Linked DNA regions of Arabidopsis thaliana. The protein of the gene in region 2 interacts with the protein of the main gene of each other region in a pairwise test. Each region holds a gene or a part of one and is shown on either strand. Other genes may lie near its edges.

Region 1 (3,932 bases), about 15 Mb from region 2:
CTAAGTTTAACAGATCCCATAGCTTCTCCACTTTCCTCGCTAAATCCTCTGTGATCATTGTAGATTTCGAAACATCTTCATTGTATTCTTCTCGGAATTCACGTTGATAACGAGAGCTATCTCCGCAGCTAAGGGCGTCGATGATGATTATGCACAATGACGAGAGTACTCTATGGTGCAAAGAACCGTTTTCTGAGAACCAGTAACATTTTAGGCTTGAAAGTTTGGAGAGTACTTGAAGACAAGAATTAGGAACATCAACAATACCAACAATAGGCTTATTAATCGTGCAAAAGGGGAAATTAGCAGCTTATTAGCCTTTCCACTAGATCGAACATGCCCTTATACGACAATTTGAGGCCCCTTATATATTTTCATCCAAATCACAACTTAAAAGGTAAGAATTTGTTTTGTGCATTTTGCACTAATATTTTTATTAAATTCTTGACAAATGACGTTGTCATGAAAAATTACAAAATATTGAATAACACTTGAATTTAGTAGAATTAAGAAATTGAGAAACTGAATAATACTAGAATTTAAAAGAATTTATAAAATGCCTAATTGAATAACACTAGAATCAACATTCTAATAAATTCCGTCAAATTCATTGCTCCAATACCCCCCTCCCCCCCCCCCCCCCCCCAAGTAATTGAAATGGGCTTGAAACCATGGGGCCGGAAATTTTCACTTTGTATTATTTTGATGAAGCCCAATAGACTTTACGGAAAGACCTTAGGTTTCAAGTAGGTTTTTAAGTTTTATGAAACAGAGAAACATATACGTGTTCGTGAAGGAGAAGACGTGAAGGTAACTTGGACTATAAAGTGTATAGTGTTAGCGAAAAGGTGAAGCAGAATAAATAAAGTGTTATGCGTTATCAAGTCTACCTAATATAACTAGCTAGGGATTTCTACTCTTGTTTTCATAATCGATCTACGGACATTTCTCGGAACGTGGTCAAGATTCATGAGTCTTCTGTTTTTTATGTCTCTGTTCAATTTGGTTTAGAGATTAGTATGCTTATTTGTTTATTTCATATATGGTTATGAGAGGAGAGGCTAATGGCATATACTCTGATGTTTGTGATGGCTGCTAATATCGTTGAGGAGTTATTCACGTTGTTTCATGCGCAAAAATCAACAGAAAAAATTCTGATTATGAGCCAACTCTGTGAACCCTTATAGTGCGCCCAGAGGTTTGCGAGGCAAAATCCCGATGAACCAGAAGGAATTTTAGATCTCTATCAACAATAACTATGATGGAGCTCGTTTAAATTCATCACAGCGACAACATCATTAGGCTGCCCAACGTCTATGTCTCCTGGAGGTGATGGTACTTGATCTCTCAACCAATTTTCTTGAAAATATCATGCCTTGTGAGCGCTTTCATATTGCGCCTAAAATACCCAATACGCAATGAACCTACTTCCAAAGGCATAGAAAAAAAACTGATAATGATAATGAGATTTGTCACTATACTTATCCTATCCCTACATAGGAGCCGTTTGATTGTTTAGTCCATGTTTTCATTTTGTTTAGTCTAATGCTATATAACTTTTCTTTATCAGTCTATTGTTATATGACTTATATATATCTCAAGAGATAAGGCCAATAAATCTTCTTCTTAATTATATCTGAAGACTCAAAACATATTTTGAGTTTAATAAAATAAATAACGTCCAAATGCTACATACAAACGGACCAAATTCATGGAGGTATAAATTTAAATTATTTTTTGTTCCAAAGTGTATGCAGTGATTTATTGATGAATGCGATAGAGCGGCGAAAGAGAATAATCGTCACCTAGAAGACAAATTGATCGGCCGTACATATATACATAAATACAAACCTGCCACTTCACATGTCACCCACCTTTAAGCACCCCCTTCACATACATACTTTCTATAACAAAAATATCAGCTTCTAGTTCATATTTATGTTACAATAACTCGAGTGAATCATACTAAAAAAATGTAATGCTTTCTCTAAATAGGAGATAAAATGCACCCTCCGACCTAACTAAAGATTCCTTATTTTAGCTATTTAAGACATATTGCACATGTATAGAGATACATAAACACATATGCAATATGCACATCTTCTATACATTGAAAAAAGCTGATCTTGCAAATATTTGTCTTACACAACACAAGCGACCAAAGCGATGCGTTTCCCAATGATAAGGTTACGACATACTTACACGACTCTCTCTATTGTCTCGTCTCTTTCTTTCCTCATCCCTCTCCTTTGTCTCCTTTCACTCTATTTTTCACTTTTCAGAATACTTTTACGTAAAAATCATGGACATGTCATTGTCTCCACCCTACTATACTCTTTTTTTGTTCTTTTTGTTTCCTCTTGTGTCACAAAAATAACAAGATTAAACGTACATTTCTCTCTAAAACCAGACTCAAATGACCAAAACCCGGATTCTCAACCCGACCCGATTCCCTTCTCCCAAACCCTTACGTGGCTGCGGCGACGCTAACTTCATGGAACAGCTCCTCCTTCACTGCGCCACCGCCATAGACTCCAACGACGCTGCATTAACTCACCAAATCCTCTGGGTCCTCAACAACATCGCTCCACCAGACGGTGACTCCACCCAACGTCTTACATCCGCATTCCTCCGCGCGTTGCTCTCACGCGCCGTCTCCAAAACCCCTACACTATCATCCACCATTAGCTTCCTACCTCAGGCCGATGAACTCCATCGTTTCTCAGTCGTGGAGTTAGCCGCTTTCGTAGACCTCACTCCGTGGCACCGGTTCGGATTCATTGCAGCCAACGCCGCGATCTTAACCGCCGTTGAAGGTTACTCAACGGTTCACATCGTTGACTTAAGTTTGACTCATTGTATGCAAATCCCTACTCTTATAGACGCCATGGCAAGCCGACTCAACAAACCTCCTCCGCTTCTTAAACTCACCGTCGTCTCTTCCTCCGACCACTTCCCACCATTCATCAACATCTCCTACGAAGAACTCGGATCTAAACTAGTCAACTTCGCCACCACACGAAACATTACAATGGAGTTCACAATCGTACCTTCTACTTACTCCGATGGCTTCTCCTCCCTCTTACAACAGTTACGGATTTATCCTTCTTCATTCAACGAAGCTCTCGTCGTTAACTGTCACATGATGCTCCGTTACATCCCTGAAGAACCCCTAACTTCATCATCATCATCGCTCCGAACAGTTTTCTTGAAACAACTCCGATCTTTGAATCCAAGAATCGTAACCCTAATCGAAGAAGACGTAGATCTCACATCGGAGAACTTGGTTAACCGGTTAAAATCGGCGTTTAACTACTTCTGGATTCCGTTCGATACGACGGACACGTTTATGAGTGAGCAGAGACGGTGGTACGAGGCGGAGATAAGTTGGAAGATAGAAAACGTGGTGGCGAAGGAAGGTGCGGAGAGAGTGGAGAGGACGGAGACGAAGAGACGGTGGATAGAGAGAATGAGAGAGGCTGAGTTCGGTGGAGTTAGGGTTAAAGAAGATGCGGTGGCGGATGTGAAGGCGATGCTGGAGGAGCACGCTGTCGGGTGGGGAATGAAGAAGGAAGACGACGACGAGAGTCTCGTGCTGACGTGGAAAGGTCATAGTGTTGTGTTTGCTACCGTTTGGGTTCCCATTTAAATCAGGTTGATTTAATTTAATTAGCGTTTTAATTGGATACCTAATATAGTAGAATAGCATTGCTTTAATTTCTGATCTAATTACAATTTAATAATATTTTTTATTAACTTTTTTTTTTGTTCTAATCTAGTGTCAATTGTTTTGTACTAGTTCAAAACATTCTAACGTTGAAAAATAATCGTTATTATGACTAAACATATTTTACATCTTCATAAGCACTTTTAGTTTACATAGATATTTTTCCGTGAATAGGCTTAGTGATAACAGTGAAAACTTATTATAA
Region 2 (3,932 bases):
GGCACTCTCATGATGATTCTGTTGGTTAGGTTCGATGTCCATTGGAGTAGCATCTCTCGGTAGCTCGTTGATGTTAATGAGATCCTTGCTTGCTGAATGCATTTCCTACAACAAATTACAAGTTATGTGAACCCCAACAGACATAAAATATCTCAAACCAAAACGCGTTGATCGACTTTGCAGATTAACCAAAACACAATAAATATTTCTCTTGTTGAGCACCTTTAATGCCAAACGAAGATTGTAAGTCTGAAATATCATGTAATCAAAGGATAAATCTCAAAGAAAAAGGACCATAAAGAAAAATTAGATATCTTGTGAATCAAGAGAGACCTTTCATTAGATAAAGCTGTAAGGTTGAGCTGAGTTCTACAAAAGGTGATAGCAAACTTAATGGAATTGTGCAGTTTAAGTAAATCAGCCCACTGAAACAGCACTTAGAGAAGCAAAGAGCTTTTGCAATAAGAAATATAATATCTTGTGAATCAAGAGAGATGATTCACATTAGAGGGATGTATCACAGAGGTTATGCATATAAGAAACATTTGAGTATAAAGAAAGTACAAACCTGGTCCATCTGGTTGTTTCCATTGGCTTGTGGTAGAGCCTCTACCCTGACCCTAACGTCTATTCCTGGAATCAGAGCTCCTCCACCATCAGCCCATTCTTCTTCCATGAATGGCGCATATCTGTTCCCACTTGGTGGCCCAATGTTATTCTTGTGAAACACTCTGCACAACACATATGCATCCTGCTGCACCCAGACAAAGAAGTAAGATAAGATAGGATTCTTACAAAATGAGATAACCCCAATTCAAAAGTAACTCTTTTGGACAACATAATACCAGCAGGCTTCCGTTAGTTTCAGTTTCATATTCCACAAGGCGATACTCGTGCATGACCCAATTAGTCCGAAGGCCGTCTGGAGCACGCCCGCTGTGGAAAACAAGCGTCTTTTTCATACCGAGCAACTGAATATCCCGGCGGATTTCTCTGTCTTTTCCAGTTGCTTTCCAGTACCCTTTGTTAGTTGCTCGATTCATCCTAGCACCATTACCGTACTTCTTATCTAACGCACTGAAGAAGTACCATTCTTGGTCCCGAGTTTTCAACTTCGAAAACACTGAAACACACAACACATCACAAGGTTTTTTTTCTTTCAGATCATACTTGAGAACACTTCAGATAGCCAAACACACAAGCAACAAACTTCATTTCCTGATCCACAAGCAAACATAACTGTAGCACAAGCAAACATAACTGTAGCACAAGCAAACACGAAATTCTTAAAGCAATCTGAAGAAAATTCGACTTTCTTCAGTTAAGAAGTCAATTGGATGGAATGTCTTCACAGTGTTAAAGCCTAATTGCCTAAACTTAGCGCCAGGTACGAACAGAGAATCTTCTCTGCAACAAAAAATTTCCCAGAAAACGAATCGGAGCACGTAAAAGCTAAACTCATTTCCCAGAATTGAGCCAGAAGACGGAACAACCAATAAGCCCAGGCGACAAAAATCCCAAATCAGAAGCATCAAATTCACAGAAACCCCCAAATCATAGAGATAAGCAGAAATGAAGAAGAAGAAACCTAACGAACCTGCTAAATCCCAGGGCTCATGCTTGTAGATATCTACCTCTCCAATCGCATCGAAGCGTACAGGTTTACCCAGAACCTTCCTCTTCAAGTAATAGCTCACGAGTTCCTCATCAGTCGGATGAAATCGAAAGCCAGGAGCAAGCGAGGTAGCCGACACAGCAGTACTGGGCGCAGTCGCCGATGGCGGCGAGGACACAACAGCCAGAGATTCGCGACCCATAAAAAGAAAAAAAAAAGACCGTATTTGTTTCTAGGTTTTCTTCTCAATTTTTTCAGACAAACCAGAAATATAGTTGTCAAAATGTTTTTTTTAATATGAAACCAGACAAACCAGAAAAAGAGAAGCAGGTACCTTCAATTGCAAGAAATTTGCTTTCTTTTCGAGTTCCTAGAAGGCTAGAAAAAAAGTAATTTCGGATTGCGATTACTATTTTTCATTTTCAATTTTAATAATAATTTCTCATTTTTGAGTGTTGCAGTAATAAAACCCTAAAAAATGTTACTGCTTAGCTTTTTGTTGTCGTTCTATGCAGTAAAATAAAGGAACCACTAGTCCTAGTGTGTGGTCTGAAAAGTAAGTATCCAACGATAAATATTTTTTAAAAAGTAATATGTTAGACAGATGATGAAAAAAATAATGAAAAATTAAATATTGCTTATGTGATTAATAACTCTTTTTAAAAGGTAAAGTATTTTTTTAAAAGATTAGAGTTTATTTGTTTCCTTTAATGTTAAATGCATTGTATACATCTTTAGTATAAAAATCTTATATTGTATTTGATAAATTATTGTAGTTCAAAGATTTACAAACGCTAGGATAAATAGAAAATAATCTGGTTGGAAAATATGTAATGGTTTTGTGCTTATCAAAAGTTAAATGCTGACATGTACAGTAAAACCTCTATAAATTAATAACTTCTACAAATTAATAAATTATTAAGATTCCAAAAACTAGTATAAAAAGTGATATATATCGATAGATTAATAAGATAATAATTATTTTGAATGTTCTATGTAAATATATGGTCTCATTAATATCATAAATTAATAATTATATAAAAGTATCAACTATGTATATTTATTATATGTAAAAATATTCTTTAAAATTTATTTTTAATATTTTTTTGCTTAAATTTGTATTATTTTTGTTTGAAATTCAGTTCTAATAGTTTTACTATATCAAAAAATTTTGGTATTATTTTCTATACATGAAGTTGACCAAAAAAGAAGAATTAATGAGAATAAGATAGAAGGTGAAAGAAAATAAAAAAGGAGTGACAGATACGTTTGCTTGCAGGAGGATACTTTACCAATAAGGCAAGCTAAAGGGGAGGAGAGACTTGGTCCACACGAATCATCATCTTTCCCATTTTCTGTTACTATTTATTATTCTTCTTTTCTCTATTTATTTTCTAGTACAAGTCCTCTTCAAATTTGTAATTCGTAGTTTGGTTTTCGTTTAAACCATTTGCAATTCTCAAATATAAACATTAACTACGATTTGAACTTGAATAATTTACTTGTGGGGTTTGTATTACTGTTTAAGTCAAGGTGACAAAGACAAAAGGTTACTTTCTTCTCTCTTTTTTTCATCTTCTAGTAAAATGGAATATTTAAAACAATATTATTCGACATGTTGAATTTTGTTGCTGTCGACATTTCGATATTGAAATTCTATATAATTATGGTGTACGGGGGTGGAATTGATGAGGCGTACCAGAAAACTATATGATATTTTTGCACTATTTTCTTCTTTTTTGGTACGCTATGTCTCTTGTCTCTTATGCTTTGTATGCGTAACTAATTCGAAGGCAGAAATTAAAACGAAAAATATCCAACTCTTACTTTTACACATATTATTATGAAACTAATAAAGAAAGTAAGAGTAAAAGAAAACTCTATTTTATTTATTTATTTATATAGGTTGTCAGCTATCTGACACCACTGTCTCCAAAAAGGACAAAATGCTAAAATATCAAGACTTTTTTTTTTGGCTCAAAAAAAATATATGGTTTGTGCCTCGTGTTTAAGCAATGGGCCAAATTTCTTCTAAGTTAGAATATTAAAAGCCCATGATTTATTTGTAGCCCATTTCGGTGACGGACGGGTGTAAATCAAGCCCATGCTAATTTATTCTTCTTTTTCTTATTTTCATAAACGCAGTTTCTCGTATCGAGACTAGAACAACATGCATTCGTCTTCACGAATGAAACACTGAATCTTGAAGAGCTGAGAATAGTGTGTTATGAAATTTCAATTCCGGTAACAGGTTGCATATTTCAGGGTAAGATTTGTGATCCGTTGCAAAGTATATCCATAATAAGATATGTGACAT

Evidence for each region.
Region 1: the proteins of NAC050 (region 2) and AT3G49950 interact in binary tests that used the Arabidopsis thaliana proteins (3 or more experiments, as listed by UniProt).

Annotation. Positions count from the first base shown.
Region 1 is NC_003074.8:18,520,154-18,524,085, forward strand, and holds AT3G49950 (GRAS family transcription factor), read left to right. Parts: upstream 1-2,312; 5' UTR 2,313-2,416; coding exon 2,417-3,649; 3' UTR 3,650-3,781; downstream 3,782-3,932. UniProt on the Arabidopsis thaliana protein: Probable transcription factor involved in plant development.
Region 2 is NC_003074.8:3,262,295-3,266,226, reverse strand, and holds the start of NAC050 (NAC domain containing protein 50), read right to left. Parts: upstream 1,880-3,932; 5' UTR 1,818-1,879; coding exon 1,598-1,817; intron 1,408-1,597; coding exon 1,378-1,407; intron 1,297-1,377; coding exon 1,228-1,296; intron 1,124-1,227; coding exon 846-1,123; intron 755-845; coding exon 569-754; intron 426-568; coding exon 334-425; intron 223-333; coding exon 177-222; intron 106-176; coding exon 1-105. UniProt on the Arabidopsis thaliana protein: Transcriptional repressor that binds to the motif 5'-(C/T)A(C/A)G-3' in the promoter of target genes. Also binds to the 5'-CTTGNNNNNCAAG-3' consensus sequence in chromatin.